Linked DNA regions of Ovis aries. The protein of the gene in region 2 purifies or fractionates together with the protein of the main gene of each other region. This does not show direct contact. Links are inferred from orthologs where the notes say so. Each region holds a gene or a part of one and is shown on either strand. Other genes may lie near its edges.

Region 1 (9,640 bases), on a different chromosome or scaffold from region 2:
GCACTCTATTAGAATTCTGGCTGAAAAAAAATCCACAAAGACATCTTTTACTTAGTCTGGGGCATCAGATCCCATAAAACTACAATTCAGTTCAGTTCAGTCTGAACTACAATTTATCTACTTTTAAATATAATTTTCTGATTGATTCAAATAAACTCATTCTTCTTGGAACCCATGATTGCCTTCAATCATCCAGAAGACAAGTAGATAACGTGAAGCTGATAATAGGAGCCAAACAGAATCTAAGTTTGGATCCTGCCTGCAAATTCCTAGCTGATAATCCTGGGCAAATTCTTAACCCTCTACACCAAAGCTTACTTATCTGTAAATGTTTGCAGAGTGTGCTGTTGTTAAAGTTCTTTTAACAGTAAAATACACATAAAATTTACCATTTCAACCATTTTTAAGCACACCATTCAGAGGCATTAAACACATTCAAAACATTGACCTTCCATGTCCAAAGTTTTTTTCACCTTCCAAATAGCAGCTCTGTCCCAATTAAACACTAACTTCCCATTCCCATCTCCCCTCTGCTTCTGGTAACCCCTCGTTCTACCTTCTGTCTCTGTAAATTTGCCTGTTCTAGCTACCTCCTATAAATGGAATCATAAACTGTTTCCTTGTGTGTCTGGCTTATTCTCCTTAGCATACCATTTGCAAGTTTCACCTACGTTATTGTATGTCTCAATATGTCATTCCTTCAATCGCTGAACATTCCATTGTATGTACACAACATGTTTCATTTATCCAAACCTCTGCTGATGAGCCCAAGGTGGTTCTCGCAAGAATTAAAAACAAAGCACCTGATGTGAATATTACCACAATAAAAAACAAACCAAGCAAACGAATGAAGCATCTGGCAAACAGTAGGCTCTTTAATATTAATGTCTTTTTTTCCACTTTGTCATATTTTTGCACCACATAGCAGTGCAACGGCAAGACAAAAACAGTGCAACCACCTTACAAATTTATCAGCTGCGCCTTTTGAGATATTATTGGATTCACAACTACATTTACCATCTTAAAAGAATGATGAGGAGCATCCCAATAAACAATCAGTAACTACACTAATACTACTTTCTTCAGTTTTAGCTTCAAAACCTAGCTCAAGTTATTCCAATCAAGAACTCATTAATGGTAACTAAACCCCTTTTGATTAAAAGACGTATTCGTCCCCTAAATTTCGGTCAATTTCAACACAATTTAAGCAGATACTATATGCCAGGTATATCCAGACGACCCATCAAGCTTCTCTCTGGCTGCCTGAAATACCAAATACGAAAACCAACAGTTACATCTAAAGTGTATCCGATTTTCAGTATCTTAGGGTATTAATAATTAGGAGAAACCATGGAACTTGTACACCTTGATAATTATTTTTCTTTGTAACCACTGCCACTCAGGGAGAAAAATACCTTCCAAAGCTCTTCACAACATGAATATATCCTGTTTGCTTTCCAAGTTGCTTTGTCAAAATATTTCCCTATATTTTCAGGATTTCCTTTATTCATTCAACTATTAATCCCTGCTCTCTAGCAACTCAGGTGCACAAAGAAAACTAAGACAGAGCCTCTGCCTCAAGGCACTTCAGAGGGAAGGGAGGGATGGCACCAGCAAGTGATTTCAATTGGATACAGGCTATAGTAAAGAATACCAACGAAGCCCTTGAAGAGACATGGAAGGCCTCCAGCAGGTGAAGCTTTCTCTGAACTTAATAAGCTGTTCCTCTTCTGCTCTCCCCAAACTGCACACTTCACCTGCCCACGTAGAAGTCATCATTCACAGAAAATGTTTTCTTCATTTGTATGGACATAAAGACTGCAAGGCAGATCCATAAATCATTTCCAACTGACTCCAGAATTCATTAGCTCATCATAGGATTTTTCCTTGCTGTTAGTTTTTAAAAAGCAGATCAACTTTCTTAATCACTTCTTTAGGCCAAGTCAGAAACTAACTCAGACTCCTGGAGCATGCCAGCTCAAAGGATGGGGGATATCCTGGAAAATCTCCATGCGACCTGGGGAAATCTACCTACACATTTCTAGTGGTCAACACAAAGATAATCACTTTTACGTATGCATGCAAGGCAAAGCTGGTATAAACGAATTTGTGCTCTTTTTCTTTGCCTAACTATACTAAATCAACAAGCATAGTTTTTTATCACTGCTACTTAAACTAAATACACTCTCAATTCAAACACAAAAAATTTAAAACCAATTCCCCCAAAAACCTTTTCAAACAAAATCTTGTGGCAAGTACAAAGATAGTAATTATCAAATATAATGTACACAAGATGGGGAAAACTGAATTTTGTATTCTAAAAGATTCAAATTTCTGCCAAAATCTGCATAACTAGCTCACCTCCTAACAATGGGCAAGATTATCAGTAGGACTTTTTATAATTACCAACAACTAATATAAATGTAGACAATACTTAGGAACAGCACCTGGAATGTCAGTTCAGTGATGTTGAACACTGCAAAATGTGTAAGACTTTTACACTACATTTCTTTGTCTCCACTTTTTTGAAACCGTAAAATAGAAGGCTGCACATTAGATCAACAGATAAAACAATGCAAATAAGAAGAGTGTCTAAGTGTTTCTAAATTTCGTTCCTTTGAATACGTTCACTTTCCACAAAAATTAATATTTAAGATGCCATTTTCCTAAGTGTTTCCAAGACTTTAAACATTACATTCTCTCACACACCTCCAAAAAGAGAATAGGATTCTCTATATCTAAGACTAGAACCCCATCTATTCCTAACTTTAGGGAATAGGAAAAGGAAATTAAAATGTATCTTGAATACTTTCGTTTTCTTGCAAATAAAATGATCAATAGTTAGGATTACACACTTGCTCTACATTTTATCTCCAAACATAAAATATTTGCTAATGGTCATAAGGAGTAATAGAAAATAAACTCCACAACCAACCCCCCTAGCTCCCTAGTGATCTAAGGGTTAGGATCCCACCCGCTCGATCTCAAACCCCCCTAGAAGTACAGACTACATTCACCTGTGTTAGCATTAGTGTTTTTTAAAAGCTTTTTTAAACTGTTGTTTTAAATGTTGTTTTATGTGACATTGAAACGCCACAAAACTAAGCTGATAACGACCTTTCAAACCCAGCTAGCAAACCGTGCAGCATTTAAAGCATTTTTAAATACCAAAGACATCTTTATTTCCAAATGAATTAAAATTTTACAGATCCCGTGCGACAAAGTAGCTTAACTGCGGACAGCACACGTTCGATTTCTTAGGCAACGAACATTTCTGCAGCCAGTCTTTTCTGACTCAACAAAGCTATTGTTCACGGAAAACAAGTCCAATTAATGAGAAATTGCTAACCATACCATCCAAACACACATTTAGCATAAGCGTTTTCTTTGGACCAACTCTTTGTACCATCTCTTCCCCGTTCATCCCCTAGGGATTCGGGGAACAATCTCTCCTCACTAAATGACAGCTGATTTCGTTAGCACCTGTCGCCAGTCTCACACGAGTTGGCCAAAACAGCCTGGACAGGTTTCTTTTTTTTTTTTTTTTTTTGGAAGATGATGATTCTTCAGAAACTGGGGATTCACCAGGCGTTGAGTTCACTAAGTTTTCCAAAATACCACGCTTCTCGATCCCTCCCGTTCTTCACAAAGTGACCCTGAGGCACCGACTTTTGGGGAGGCGGAGATGGGGGTGGGGGGCCCACAAGGACGCGTGAACTCGACGGAAAGCCCTCCGTAACGAACAAAACCGCGGAGATGGGGGCGGGGGTGGGGGGTAGAACAGCGCGACCCGCCCCTCAAACTTAACGGAGAGCCCCGCCGAGACGACAGAGGCGGCCGGGGACCGCCTGGTCCGAGCGGGGCTCGGGGCCTCAGGGCTCCGGGGCAGCTTTCGGCGGAAATGTCAGCAAGCGCGGACGCCCGAGTCCGGTCTCCGCGCGCCGTCCCGGCCCCCGCGGCCCCGGGCCGAGCCTGCGCGCTCGCGGGGAGGGGGCGTGGGGCCGAGCCCGCCCGCCCGCTCCCCACGCCCCCTCTCCGCCCGCTGTCAGGCCCCGGTGTCACTGCCCCTGACTCGCGCCGAGCTCCCCCGAGACACAGTCCGTCCTTTGTCTCTGAGTGCGCACTCGGCGCTGAGGTCCCATCAACTTGTGTGGGTCCCGTCCCACCCGGGCGCTCCCGCCGCCGTGCCGCTCCACACAAAGGAGACCGGGGGCTCGGGCGGCCGGCCCGCCCCGGGCACCCGAGCGCCCCCAGCCCGGCCCCGGCGCCTCGGGAGGAACGGGCGCGCGAGGGGACCCCCCCCCCCCCGCAAACCCTCCGCTCGGCGCCCGCCCGGGCTCCCGCCTCGGGTTTCTCTGGCTCCCACACAGCCCGCCCGCGGGGGTCGCGCGGATCGGCCCGGGCCCACAGCCCTTTCCGAGGGGGGTGAGGGGAGGTCTCTTCTCACCCCCACGAGCCCCAGAGGCTCCCCGGGAAAGCCCGCTTGTGGGGGTGGGGGGAGGATTACCCGGACCGGCTGAGCGGCAGCGGAGATGTCCCGCCGCCGCCGCCCCACGCCGAGCTCCGGAGCCCCGCCGGCCGGCCGGCCTGCCGGCCCGACAGCGGCGCGTTACCTGCGCCCCGCGCCCCAGCCCGCGCCGCTCCCGCGCGCCGCTCCCGCGCGCCACCGCTGCCGCCGCCGCCGGGGCTCCACCGCCTTCTGCGTCCCAGTGGGTGTCGGACGCTCCCGGACCGAGCGCCAAACCAGGCAGCCCAATCGCCATCGCTTTTATTTGGCCCCCCCTGTCCAACCAAGCGCCGCCCCGATTGGCGGGACGCGAGGCGGGCTCCCGTCCAATCACAGGGCCCGCCGGCCTCTGAGGCGCCGAGCCAGCCCCACGCAGAGGCGCCCGCGGGACTCTGCCGGGCCGGGCCGGCGGCGCGTGCGCGCGGGCGGGCAGGCGCTGAGGGACGCTGCCGCCTGAGTGGAAGCGCCGCGCCGGCTCTTTGTTCTTTTCTCCGAACGCCCGGCGCCTCTCAGGAAGGCGGTGGGGCCGGCGTTCGGGGAAGAAGGGCCTCCGGAGCCCGAATCCCCAAACCGCGGGCGGGAAGGCGGGCTGGGCGGGGTGGCGGGAACCGGCCGGAGGGCGGGACGGCGCGCTCGCGGCGCTTGGCGGGAACCGCCGCTTCGGTGTTCCCGGGCCGGAGGGGCGGGGCGGGGCCGAAAGCCAAGTTTGAACCAGTTCAAAACTCGGGGTGGTAACGGTTTCAACTGCCGCGCTCTTTTTCCCCGCGCGCGCAGCGGAGGCCCTGGCCGGCCGGCCGGCGGGCGGGAAGAGCCGGACACGAGGGCTCGCGGCGCCCGGTCTGCCGGCCAGACGCCCTCTACGGCCCCAGCTCCAGCCCGGCTGGTCTCGGGCGAGGAGCTGCGAGCCTCCCGCCCTCCGGCGTGGCCGATGCGCCGTCCCCCGAGCCGAGCGGAGCGCCCTGCCGGCTACTTTTGTCTGCTGCCGCCCCTCGGCCGCTTGGCCCGACTCGGGTCCCACTGGACTTTGGCTAGTCGATCCCACAGTGCCCATCGCCTTAGAAACCCTGGGAAAGAGAGAAGTCACGATTATTTCAGATTCCTCATTCAGAGCGCCTTGTTCAAACCCTTTCCAGTGTTGCAGTGCCAAGCACGTGTCAGCGTTAAAAATCATTTATCAAGGATGATTGTTCATGTCCCTCGTGCTAACTTCTCTACAAAGTATTAAGATGCCAGCATTTTTCAAGTATTAAAAAAAAAAAAAAAGATCATGGGGTGAGCCTGTCTCCACCCAGAGGAGTTAGTGCTATTCCACTTAGGATACAGTCGCCCTTTTTGATTTATCTGGCAGTGAAGTTAAGGTTATTCCGATTTTTTTTTTTAGTAGGGTGTAACTATAGGGCAAAGTAACCCCCTCACCCACATAAACTGAGATTCCAAATTGAGAGCTCACGTGCGGGGCAGGGAAGACGGTCACCTATGAGCTCGAGCTAAAAGCCTAACGGAATCATGCTTTAACGGAATCATGCTTTTAGTATTTTATTTAATTTTTAAATGACTAAGATTTTTAATAACTAGTTGCTCTCTTTGTGTTCCCAGAGACTGGAACAGTCATTTAACCCACTGATCTACTGCCTTTCCTAAATCACGGTTCCGTTCCTCACATATTAAAGTGTGAAAGTGAAAGTCACACAGTAGTGTCCGACTCTGCGATCCCACGGGCTATACCTTGCCGCCCTCTGTCCATGGAATTCTCCAGGCAAGAATACTGGAGTGACGAAAGCAAAAGATAGAAAACAATCCTGTGCCCAAATAAAAGCATGAATAAATGATAATAGGGCAAAAGCAAGTTATGCATCTGAGTGCGTGTGTGCTTAGTTCCTCAGTCTATCGGATTCTGCCCACCCTATGGACTATAGCCAGCCAGGCTGTCCATGGGATTTCCCCCGCAAGAATGCTAGAGTGGGTTGCCATTTCTTTCTGCAGTGCATCTTCCCGACCCAGGGATTGAACCTGAGTCTCCTGCCTCTCCTCCGTTGGCAGGTGAATTCTTAACCAATGAGCCACCTTGAAAGCCCTATGCATCTGAGAGGTAACTATAAGCTAATGTAACAATTCCATCTGTCTTCTACTGGACAGACATTCATAGTCCATGGTACAAGGCCTCCATCTAGACCACTTCCATCTAGACCACTAATTTACAATTGCTTAAGCATTTAAATCTCAAAAGTTAACTTCATCCCTAAATCACTAATCAAATTATTGATTTTACCTCATATTAAAATGTGGGCATTTTTTAAAGAAAGATAAAGGAAATTCTTTTAGAGATTGTAAGCAAATCCAAGCAATATACAAACACACAGCATAGCATGAACTGTCATGTGAGTTGCTAAGGCATTTAGAATCAAGAAATGACATTGGATCAAGATGTTCCCCCCAAAAAAATACCTCAGGAAAGGATATTTTAGCCAGACAATAAAGCAAGTGTAAGATTTAGATTTATGGGAGTGAGGGCACTTGAGAATGAACATGTGCTCCTCAGGATTAGGTGGAGTATAAGTAGAGCTGAGAACTCCAGTTGGCAAAGAGTGAGAGAGCAAATTAAGAGAACGAATATTGTAGAATTTATATTTACCATACATATTTATGTTAAATATAATACGAAGGCTGACCTGGAGCAGGAACTGGGGGTGCCAGTGAATTACAATAGTCTTAATTCAGGGACAACATTATCCAGTGAAGTAAGATGTTTTAGGTCACAGTGTGGCAAAAAAAGAGGATATATTGAAAACATTGCCAAAAGATTTAATAATATATGGAGGACATATGTTATTGTGCAACTCAACTTTGTATATTCACAAATACAGGAAAGTTGGGAGGAAGAAGTATTTCATTTTAGATACTAAGAAAAATTACCTAAAGATTTTCAAGCTGGGAAAGAAGAAAGCATGTATGAACCCCCAATTATTGAGTATGAATCCCAAATTACTAAAGGGACCTAGGTGAAGCAGAAAGCCAGGCTGAACACAAAGGTAGATGTGAACAGTGAGAGTCACCAAGCGTTTTTACCTCTGTGAAGATGCTCAGATGACAGGCATGCTCCTAATCACAGGTCATTATGTCCTCTGTTAAAGAGAGATTCACTATTACAGGGTAAAACCAAAAAGTGGAGAATTAAACTCTGAATTCAGGACAGAGCTCAACTTCATTCACTGCTGTTCTCCCAAAGTCCACCACTGCACACAGTATATCATCAGGGTTTTCCAGAGGAGGACAGGAAAAGGTCAAGTGCAAAATTAAGGTTTATTGGCATCACAGAACTTCCCTTTCAAGCCTACGAATGGGATCTACTTCTCACACATTCATTTGTTCACCTTGCATCCAACAAGTATTATGGAGGGCTTACAACGTGAAAATTTCTGAAAGAGATGGGAATACCAGACCACCTGACCTGCCTCTTGAGCTGCCTATATGCAGGTCAGGAAGCAACAGTTAGAACTGGACATGGAACAACAGACTGGTTCCAAATAGGAAAAGGAGTGCGTCAAAGCTGTATATTGTCACCCCGCTTATTTAACTTATATGCAGAGTACATCATGAGAAACGCTGGGCTGGAAGAAACACAAGCTGGAATCAAGACTGCCGGGAGAAATATCAATAACCTCAGATATGCAGATGACACCACCCTTATGGCAGAAAGTGAAGAGGAACTAAAAGCCTCTTGATGAAAGTGAAAGAGGAGAGTGAAAAAGTTGGCTTAAAGCTCAACATTCAGAAAACGAAGATCATCTGGTCCCATCACTTCATGGGAAATAGATGGGAAACAGTGGAAACAGTGTCAGACTTTATTTTGGGGGGCTCCAAAATCACTGCAGATGGTGATTGCAGGCATGAAATTAAAAGATGCTTACTCCTTGGAAGGAAAGTTATGACCAACCTAGATAGCATATTCAAAAGCAGAGACATTACTTTGCCAACAAAGGTCCATCTAGTCAAGGCTATGGTTTTCCAGTGGTCATGTATGGATGTGAGAGTTGGACTGTGAAGAAAGCTGAGCGCCAATGAATTGATGGTTTTGAACTGTGGTGTTGGAGAAGACTCTTGAGAGTCCCTTGGACTGCAAGGAGATCCAACCTATCCATTCTGAAGGAGATCAACCCTGGGATTTCTTTGGAAGGAATGATGCTAAAGCTGAAACTCCAGTACTCTGGCCACCTCATGCGAAGAGTTGACTCATTGGAAAAGACTCCGATGCTGGGAGGGATTGGGGGCAGGAGGAAAAGGGGACGGCAGAGGATGAGATAGCTGGATGACATCACCGACTCGATGGACATGAGTCTGAGTGAACTCTGGGAGTTGGTGATGGACAGGGAGGCCTGGCGTGCTGCGATTCATGGGGTCGCAAAGAGTTGGACACGACTGAGCGACTGAACTGAACTGAACTACTAGTGAAAGCACTGTTCTGGGGTCTAGAAATACAAAGTGAGCAAAACAAAAGTCCCTGCCTTGGTGGAAAGAAAGTTAGTGAAAGTTAAGTCGCTCAGACTCTTTGTGACCCCGTGGACTGTAGCCCACCAGGCTTCTCCATCCATGGGATTCTCCAGGCAAGAATACTGGAGTGGGTTGCCATTTCCTTCTCCACGGGATCTTCCCAACCCAGGGATCGAATCCAGGTCTCCCACATTGTGGGGAGACGCTGTAACCTCTGAGCTACCGAGGTGGAAAGAAACAAACCATAAATTATACAGGATATGAGGTGGCAGCAAGTACAACAGAGAAAAACAGCCTGAAAGGAGAGAAGGAGTGGATGTTCACTTCAGTTCAGTCGCTCAGTCGTGTCCGATTCTTTGCGATCTCATGAACCGCAGCACGCCAGGCCTCCCTGTCCATCACCAACTCCCAGAGTTCACCCAAACCCATGTCGATTGAGTCGGTGATGCCATCCAACCATCTCATCCTCTGTCGTCCCCTTCTCCTCCTGCCCTCAATCTTTCCCAGGAGTGAGTGTAAATGCTCCCATTTTAAAACCGCTTAGTCAGGGAAAGTCTCACTGAGAAGATGACATCTGAAGAAAAACTTTGGGACTTCCCTGGTTCAGTGCTTAGGACTGTGCAGTTCCACTGCAGGGGACGCGGG
Region 2 (9,640 bases):
GCCTCCCCCCTCATTCCTGCAGGAGCCAGGGGACCTCCCACAGAGAAGGTGACAGTCTCAGCCCCGGGTGGAGCTGCCCCCTTGCCTCTCCAGACCAGGAAACCTGCTGGACACCTTGACTTCCCCACTGTCCTGGACGGGCCAAGGCCCAGAAGTGAGACCTCAGTCACTGGCCCCCCCTCGCCTCCATTGGCACAGGCCCGTCACCACCCATAAGCCAGAAGCGGGTGCAGAGAATTAGGACAGACCAGGCCGCCCATGGCTGCTGTCAGGGCAGAGGGCCCCCCATAAGCCTCACCCGGGTCTTGGCGGCACCCTTGTTTTTGCTCCCCTTCGGTCGGCCCCGAGGTCTCTTAGGTGTTGGCACTTCACTGGGCTCCTTCTGCAAAGACAGATGAGACAGTCAGAGACGTGGAAGCCACCTTCCCTGTCCCTTCAGGACAGAGCCCTCTGCCCCAGCCCAGCAGTGGTCTGCCCGCCCCCACTCCAGAATGCACAGGAACCATGGCAGGTAACCCTTGGGATTCAGGTTCTCCATCTGACATTCTTTTGCAAAGCCTTTCCCCTAGCTTCTCTGCAACAGCAAAATGACAAGACACCAGAAGGCCTCTGGGAAGGGTGTCGTGGGGGCAGAAAGACACGAGATAGCTCTGTCCACACCCCAGCTCAGCCTCTGACCAGCTCTCAGATCTTGGGCCAGATGCTGAATGAAGACAGGACAGTCTGCAGTACTGGGCTGTCATCACTGCCCACCCCACCCCCACCTCCGCCAGAAGGCAGGGATGCAGAAGAGGAGAAAGGATGCCCCTTCCCCTAGAAGGAGCCTCCAGCTCTCCCTGCAAACCAGACTCCTTCCAGGTTGCCTCCTAGGGAGGACTCATGTCCACATCTTGGAACCCCAGAGACCCCTGCCATTTGGGCCACTAAAACTTTAATAGACCCGAGATAGAATAAAAAGCTGCTACATAATGCACAGAAGCCGGGCAGTAAAGGCACATCAGTGGTGGTTTCCCAGGGTGGCTGCCGGTGGGCTGTTCATCGCCCAGTAACCGCACACCCCTTCTGACACCCCTCACTGACAAGCCCACAGGCAGCAGGGGGAGGCCAAAGGAATCAGACTAAGGGGGGTGACTTCTCCACCCGTGAAAAGGGCTCTGAAAGAGACAGATGAATTCCACCACCCATGAGACTCCTCACGGCTCCTCAAGAGCTAGTACGGAGATTCCCAGTGGGGGCGGGGAGGCGTGCCTGGGGTCTGGTGGACAAGGATCAGCTTCAGTTCCTTTCCCCTTCTCTCCCCCAGGAAAGGAAAGGAACAGGGCTTCACCCACAGCTGCGCCCTCATGTGGGACAGCTCCCTCTCGAGAAACCAAGGTCTCCACCAGGTAACAGGTGGCCCACACAGCCTGACTGGCCAAGCTCCCCAGGGTGCCCAGAACCAGGGCTCTGAGTCACTCTGCCACCAACTCCCCAACGTTGTAAACTTTCGGGCTTTTACAGAACCAGGCAGAGCCCAATGCAGGGTCACTCAAGGAAGCCCAAGAACAGGTGATGGCCCCTGCCCCGGGATGAAGAACTCCAGAAACGGACAGGAAGCATTAAGTAAGTTAACAGAGTGCTGCCACGCATGCTGCTGGGCTTACGTACGTAAACGGTCACGTTTCTATAACTCATCTTTGTTGGCGTTTAGTCGCCAAGTCACCTCCAACTCTTTTATGACCCCACGGACGGTAGCCCACCAGGCTCCTCTGTCCATGGGATTTCCTGGGCAAGAAGACTGGAGTGGGTTGCCATTTCCTCCTCCAGGGGATCTTCCTGACCCAGGGATCGATCCCACATCTCCTGCTTGGCAGGCAGATTCTTTACCACTGAGCCACCATACTTCAATACACTGGTCCACAATGGACTGGAAATAAAAGGTGAGTGGTTTACCAGTGGAAGCTCTGGCCTGCATGACTACAGGCTCACTCCTGGCTTGAACTCAGGTTCAGCGCTCCCTTGGGCCACACTCCTCTCCCGGGGTCTCGGGCAGCAGAGACGTGTGTGTGGGGAGCGCACATATGTATAGGAAGGATGCCGCACCCTGCCAGTCCTGTTTTCACCTGCCAGGATGCCGGAAACCTCCCTAGCCCTAAGAGGTAAACCAAGGTGAAGGTCTGGACAGCCAGCTGCCTCCTGCCAGCGCAGCCCCAGGGCTCACCGGAGGCTGCTTGCGAGGCCGGCCCCGCCCGCGCTTCTCAGCGCCGTCCTTCTCCTGCTTGGAGGCCAGGGGCTGGCTGGACTTCGAGCTCGACTCGCTCATCTTCCCTCGTCAGCAGAGCAGGCGAGGAGCCACGGCTGGGCTGCTGGGAGGCAGGGAAAGTGTTTTAGATGAAACTTCTTGCGTTAGCCACCTCCAGACCCTCATCACTCCCGCCCAGCAGGAAACTGCCTTCTCCCAGGGCCCCCCAGGACTCCCACCCTGGCCTAGGGTTGTCTGCCCAGCCCGCCGTGCAGGCTGCAGGGTGGGGCTGGGCCGTTGGCCCTAATCAGGGCCTTATCTCCTGCTCAGAAGGGCTCTTTGTTGCCCTGCCACCCCCACTCAAGAGCGCAGCCAGCCCAGACCTGGCTGTGGGTGAGGCCGTCCCGGCTGAGGTGTGGGCGAGATGGTCCTCAGGCTGCCAGGCCCCCCCCCTCCACTGTGCTGCCCCTTCTCTTTTAAGGCAAGCCAAGCCTGGGTAGCTCGCGGGGAGCACGGGAAGAGAGGCGAGCAAGGAACGAGCCCTGCACATCTGCCTGGCAGCCATGCCACCAGTCCCTGGGCCACCTTGCCCACAGCACTGCCCAGGGCCCCACCAGTTCTCTCTGCTTCCCTCTCCCTGGGTTAAACCTTGGAGGGTCAAAGATGCAAACAATTTGGGAAATGGGGGCTAAAACCACACTGGGTGAGGTGCGGGGAGGAAAGGAAACCACCCAAAGCTGAAAGGGGAGTCTCCTCTTCCCCTCAGCCCACTCGCACCCATCTGGAGTCAGATGGGATCTTTCTCTTTGATGCCTCCTCACATGAGGGGCAGGGACTTCTCCAACTGAGAGGGAGAAAACACTAGCTGACCCCCTGAAGCCCTAGGAGTGCTGATCCTCAAAGCACCTTGGTCCTTTTCTAGCATATTCCCTCTTCTTAAGAGGACTCTTTGGACTTAATCAGTCCTACAAATACAGAATTCATGTAAAACCACCCTCTGCAAGGGGCACCTGCACCTGTATTGGGGAGTCTCTTCCAGAAGCTGAGAAAGAGCAACAAGGGGCCCCCACACCTATCCTCCCAGTTAGTATCCCCAAGTTACAGACAGAGATTGGTCTTCGGAGGCTGCCCTTGGCAAAGGGTGGGCCCAAGTAGCTCTACTTCCAGAAAAGCCCTTCAACCTATAAAATGGAGGTAATGATGCTCCACCTGTCTTGCCTACGTCTGCAGCAAGAATCAAACTAGGTAAAAATTAAAAACGCTTAAACAACTGAAAGGTTCATTCCAATCAAAATGAGAACTAGAACATTTGAAAATGACTCTCCCTTTTCAGATTCAGACTATTTCCAATTTTAACCCAAAGAGAGGAAAGCCTGTCTTTTTTGCAAACTTGTGATTGTTACGAGGGGCCTAAGGCCCCTGATTCTCAAGTATTGAAATGCTCCAGACGGCGAGACTTCGTCTGGTAATTATTCCATTTCATAATATTTCAGACTTGAAGACCCTTTTAAACAAGGTGGTTGGCGATTTATCCTGCTCCATCATTAGTGGCTTGGCCTGCTCTGTAATTACAGGCAGTGATTAGAATCTTACATTACACCACAGATCCCCCTTCAAAACTAAACATCAAAATTAATCAGCTAAATGAGCGCTGACCTCACATGAGGTTTGCTGGAGGCCCCCTCCAAGAGGGGGTTCTAGTTGGGCGAAGCCAGCCCCTAATCCCACAAGGCCCAGCCCAGCCTGCCTGGGGACCCTGTTGAGTGCGTCTGGTATTTCCCCACTTCTTGCTGCTGGGGACCCTTTAATCCGCTCACCCCCACCCCAGATCCAGGCCTCCATGAACTGAATTAAGGCCTGAGGCCCTCTCTGGTGAGACCAACAAATGCTTGTCTCTTCCACCTGTTTCTGAACATCAGGGAGGCCTGGCTTGGAGAAGCCACGTTTGAGGCCCAACTTCAGTCCTATCGTCGGTAATAAGCCCTTTCGGGCCTCAGACTTGTCCTCTCCACACAATGTGGGCGCCACAAACGCTAAGGCAATCCGTGGGCATGACTCTAGGAAATCACCATGGGGCTGCCTCGTTTCCTCCCAAAAAGTAGCCTAGAGAAAGGGTTGATGAGGTGCCCAAGGTCACAGAGCAAATTGGAATGGGTTCCTGGCGACCCTTCTCGCCCGCCAGTTTCCTTACCCGCCCGGGGGCTGGTAAAACCCCTGTCGCCCCTACTCCAGACCGGCCCTGGGTGACTCTGCAAGTGTCTGCGCCCGGCCGTTGCTGGTCGGCCGGAGGGACGAGGGGCCGGAGCGCGCGGGGGGAGGGGCGCAGGCCGCGGGTGCAGGCGCGGGAAACCGGTGCCCTCCGACCGCATGCACCGCCACGAGGGTGCACCCGGCCCCACTTCCTGCCAGAGGGGGCACCCAAGCCCGCCTTGGGGCAGGAAACCTGGCGCGCGCGGGGGAGAGGAAGAAAGCCGCCTCCCTCCGCGACTTCCCCGCAAAATAAAAGCCCCAGTTTAAAAAAAAAATGAAACGGGGAGTCAAAGGGACTAGTTCCAACAGAGCCCAGCAAAGCAGAGAAACCAGTTTGTGGGGGCGGAGGGCAGGCCGGGCCCGGGGGGCTGAAGAGGCGCAGGCCGGGCCAGAGGTGGGGTCGGGGTGAAGCCCCAAACCCAGGCCAGGGAGTCGGCCTCGGCTGCGGAGTGAGCGCCGGGATAAAAGGCCGAGCCCGGAGTTCAGGCCGAATTGCGGGGTTCCCGCCCATCCCACACCCCCACTTACAGAACTTCCCCAGGCTGCGGGGCCGCCCGGCCCCGGGCTCTCCCGCCGCGCCCCAGCCTGCCCCTCTCCCCGCCCCCACGGCACAGGCCCGGGCTCGGGCTCGGGCTCGGGCGGGAGCGGCGGCCGCGCGAGGTGCACCGAGAGCCGCCGGGTGCACGACTCGCGCTCGCCGCAGCCGCGCACCCCCTCCCCCACCGCGCGCTTCTCCCGGGTCCCCGCCCCCCGCACGGCGCCCGCGGCGCGGGGGCAGGGGTGCGGGCGCCCTCCCCGCGCCGCCCGGCCCCACCGCCCGCCCCCCGCGCCGCGCGGCCCTCCCCCGCCGGCGGCTCGCGCAGCCCCGGCCTGGGAATAAAGCCGGAGGCGCGCGCTGCAGCCCCGGGGCGGCTTGCAGGAGGGGGCGGCGTGCGGCCGCGGCGCGGGCGCCCCCCTCCGCCGCCGGCCCCGGGACGGACTCACCGCGAGCTCGGCTGCCGGCCTGCGGTGCGTGCTCCGAGCTGCCGGGAGCGACGGTGTTGGGCGCTGAGGACCGGCCTGGCTCCGCCGCCGCCGCCGCCGCCGCCGCTGGTAGCAAATGCGGATCTGAAACCGGGAGAGAGAGCAGAAGCGCTCAGAGGCCGCCGCCGCCGCGTGCTCGCCGCCCTGGCCCCCGCGGGGTATTTATATGTCACATCCAGGCCGGGGGGGGGAGCACAAAAATATTCCACCTCCCCCGAAGGATGGCGAGGGGCAGGAAGCTAGGCACGGCCCGTGCGCGGCCTCAATAAATAAATAATTTATTTAAATGATAGATTAAAAAAAAAAAAAAAAAGGAGCCACCAGAGGGGCCGCGAACTCACGCCTTCTTGGAGCCGCGCCAGGGCCAGAAATAGCCCGGGCTCGGAGTCCCAATTAGAGGAGCGCAGCCCCGGCTCAGGGGAGCTTAAAAAGAGCGACCCAGGGGCAGGGGGGACGGGCCCGCCCGCGCCAGCCGTGTCACTGGGGGGCGGGGCCATGCAAATGAGCCTGGGGATTTAAAAGGGCGGCCGCCCGCCGCCGCCGCGCGGGTGGGTGCTGACGACGGCGAGGGCTGTCCGGAGACGGGCGTCTGGGGGCGGGCGCGCAGGGGGGCCGGGCCGGGGCCCAGAGGACGCGGCCCCCTCCCCGCAGTCCCCTGCCGGCAGACATGGGGAGCTGTTGAGAGGGGTCACCAGGAAGCCCTTCCCAGGGGCGGGCGTTCCCTGCGTGGAGTGGGCTCGCGCGAGAGACGCCTCTGGGGCCTTCCGGGCGTTAGGCCTGGCGCCCGCGGGCGCGTGAATGTGCGCGGGCGCCGGTGCCTGCGGGGGTCTGCGCGGACGCCGGTTAGAGAGTCCCGCGGCCTACCCGCCGCCCTCTCCGCCTAGATTACGCGGCTCCTTAGTTTCCCCTGGGCGGACAGGTGTCAGCGTGTGCATTTCGGTGCCAGCCGTGTGTGGCTGACTGGTGAAATGTAAGGTCTTGTGAAACTCGAACGTGAAACTTGTGAGATCCAGAGTTTAGATTTAATGGGTCCGAGTGAGCCATAATCAAGGTGCGGCCTCCACGCGAGGTAAACGATTGGCTCCTCTTCAGGTAAACCTGAGGGGAGGGCTCATTCCTTTTAAGTGACCCGGATGGTGTTGTAGAGACCAACGGCCCCACTGGGTGCCCTGGCCCCTTCCGCTGTGACTTTTTTTTTTTTTAGTAAAACGTGACCCGGTGGTCGCCTGGAAGCACTCTGAAGGCAGGGAATGAGTCTGCGCACGATGTACCCCGCCACGCCTGGCGCCATAAAGACCTATTGCGCAGCCCAAGCGGGAAGATGGCGGGGAGGGCGGTGGGGGAAGAAAGGGCGCTGTCAGGGGCGCGCCCTGCAGGCCGGGCCCGGGGCCTTCTCGGGCGCACTTCCCCGCCCCTGGTCCCCGAGGCGGCCTTCCCCATCTCCCCGTGATGCAGGGACTCGCAGTGCGGCCCAGTGACACACGGCTGTGACTCATGTTTCTCTGTGTTCCCCTTCTTCCTCCCCGGTCAGCGGAGGCCTCGGCTCAGCCCCCTCCTCAGGGGGCGAACCGGCGCTGGAGGGTGGAGGCGGATGGGGGGACGCCTGGAAAATCCTGCGCCCAGAATGGAGGCGGGGTGGGGAACCGGAGGGGCCGGGCCTCCCCGTTTCAGGAATGTCTCAGGAATGTTTCCGGTGGGGGTGGGGGGCAGGGCCGGGCCGGGGGCAGCACGTGCTCGGCCGGGTGGGGGCGGGGACGCCAGGGCGGGAAGGCGCTGGGGCCAACGGAGCGGGCTCAGGGAGGAGGGCGCGGGCCCGGGCGGGGAGCGGGCCGGGAGGCCGACCTCCGCGCGCCCGCCCTCCGCCCCGCGCCCAGGTGAAAGGCTGTCCCTGAGAAGTCTCCGGGCTGCCCCGGGAAGGGAGAGGAAGTCACCGAAGGGCGGCCTGAGGGAGAGGAGGGTGGAGGGGGAAGGCGAGGGCGAGGCTGGGGGAGGGGCGGCCTGCCCCTTTGTGTGGAGTGGGGGTGGGGCGGGGTGGAAGGCGCGCCGCTCCTTCCGTCTTTGTGCCCGGCCCGCCAAGCCAGCGCTTAGTAGGCCGCGAGTCCATTTGGCTGGAGAACCTTGAGTTGCCAGCTCGAGAACTTCTGCAGCGTTGAGTGGAAGAGCGAGCCTTCAGCCCTTACCCTACCCGCCTGGGTCACAGGCCCCTGCCGGCCACCCGGGCGCCCACGCCTGGGCCTGGGCGAGCCCCCCCAGAGCCGGTCTGCCCTGGCCCATAAGGCAGCCCAGGCCTCTAGGCCCAAGCTCCCAGGCTAGCCGCCCTTCCAGGCCCCTCCCCTCCGCGCGCTAACCTCGGGGCCGCTCTCCCTGGCCTGGGCGGCCAGTGGTGGCCCCTGAGAGGGAGGGAGGTGGGGAATAGGAAGAGAGCCTTCCGCCTCGACAGGGCTGTGGGAAAACTTGGCCAACTTTTTGGCCCGCTTCTAAACGAGCTGACTTGATCTTATTTTTCCTACTCTTACTTCCTCCTCATCCTGACTTCACCGACTTGTTACCTTGTATTATGTTTGTGTTTTTGTAAGCCACCTCAAACCCTCTGAAAGGAGGCAGGCGTAAATAAATTGGTAGGCAAATATAGTAGTTTGTTCCTCTCCGGGATTACCCACACCCTTGAAATCCAAATAACTCTACCCACTGACCCCCCACCTCCATTCTTTCTGGATTGCACATGCCCCAAATTGACTTCCTTTCTTTCCTCTTTCAATAAGTAGTTATTAAGCAGAAGGATGAGTGACAGGGATAAAGATGAATAAGACAAGTCATAGTCCTTGCCCCAGCGAATTTCCTGGGCAGAGACATCTAGAGGAACACAGTCCCAGAGGTGCTGTGAGGAGATAGCATTCAATCATTCATGCCATATTTATTGAAGGCCTACTGTGTACCAGGAACTAGTCCAAACTTTTAGGGTAAAACAATGAACAAAAACGTTCCCTGCATTCTTGAAACCTGAATTAGGGGGTTAGGTGCTTAAAGAGACACTTAATAGCTGCAACAGGAAGAAGGATGGGAGCTGAGGGGTTAGGGGGGTAGTTGCCAGAGAAGCCTGGAGGAGATGGGCTTTGACAGGCTTTGATGGGATTTGGTAGATGGAGGGCCAGGGGGAGCAGGCTGGGAGAGGGAGCTATTCTAGGCCTGGGGCATCCACCTCTTTGGTCAAAGCCTGAAGTAGGCGTCCCAAGGGAATTGGTCATACCAGAACCAGTCTTCCCCACAGGAAGCATTTTCTTACCATCCGAGTTAGATTATACATTTTTCACAAGGGCAACCCAATGAACTTCAGTGAACTCAACAAAAATGTCCAGAGAATGGGGAATTCGGGTCAACTTTATTTTTCAGGACAGCTGAAGGTTAAGCTCATTTCCACTTGGGCTGTTGAAATTCTTCCTGACAAATGTTAGTTCTTTCCTTGCCTTACTGAGTAGCAGGGCCTGGTCTCTCAGTTGTGGCTTGGAAATGCAGGGGTTTGGGTAGGTTGGGGGAGGGGGGGTGTCTCTTAGTGTCCTCTGGGTATTCATGGCTTAGTTCGTCTCTGCAGTCAATATATTCCTGAAGACGGGAAAGGCTACCCACTCCAGTATTCTGGCCTGGAGAATTCCATGGACTGTATAGTCCATGGAGTCAAAAAGAGTTGGACTCTACTGAATGACTTTCACTTCTTGCTTCTGAGTCAACTGCAGCTCTTAGGAGAGTAGAAGAGAAGACAGGTGTGATCATTCCATTTAGTGACTGGGTCAGTGGAGATTTTCCAAAAGGCATGGGGGTGAGGTGTGATGTGATGATGACGTGTGTTCAGCCCTCCAAGGAAGGCTGGGAGGAGGTGGGCAGAGGAGGGACAGGAATTACTATTGTTTAAACCAAGATACTTTTTAAAGTAAACCTTTTCCTGATGAAAACTGTACATATAGAAAATGCACAAATTCTTTATTCAGCTCAGTACATTTTCATAAAGTGAGCACCCTTGTGTCCCCAGCATCCAGATAAAGAAACAGAAATCTCCAGCTCCCTCTTGGCACAGTCCCAACTTCTGTTAGAATCCTTTGGTTTCACCTTCCAGGTGTACTGTATGGAAGAAATCATTTGTTAGGTATTCCT

The links. Proteins that work in one complex are often made in the same cells at the same time.
Region 1: the proteins of HMGA1 (region 2) and EZH2 purify together in Homo sapiens (affinity purification with mass spectrometry; 3 studies listed by BioGRID and IntAct, with this or other methods). This does not show direct contact. The link is inferred for Ovis aries from reciprocal best matches to the Homo sapiens genes HMGA1 and EZH2.

The regions. Positions count from the first base shown.
Region 1 is NC_056057.1:113,212,633-113,222,272, forward strand, and holds the start of EZH2 (histone-lysine N-methyltransferase EZH2), read right to left. Parts: upstream 4,741-9,640; 5' UTR 4,614-4,740; intron 4,524-4,613; exon of another isoform or gene 4,508-4,523; intron 1-4,507. UniProt on the Homo sapiens protein: Polycomb group (PcG) protein. Catalytic subunit of the PRC2/EED-EZH2 complex, which methylates 'Lys-9' (H3K9me) and 'Lys-27' (H3K27me) of histone H3, leading to transcriptional repression of the affected target gene.
Region 2 is NC_056073.1:8,457,278-8,466,917, reverse strand, and holds the start of HMGA1 (high mobility group protein HMG-I/HMG-Y), read right to left. Parts: upstream 5,927-9,640; 5' UTR 5,836-5,926; intron 5,579-5,835; 5' UTR 5,456-5,578; intron 5,162-5,455; exon of another isoform or gene 4,413-5,161; intron 2,346-4,412; 5' UTR 2,303-2,345; coding exon 2,201-2,302; intron 383-2,200; coding exon 299-382; intron 1-298. UniProt on the Homo sapiens protein: HMG-I/Y bind preferentially to the minor groove of A+T rich regions in double-stranded DNA. It is suggested that these proteins could function in nucleosome phasing and in the 3'-end processing of mRNA transcripts.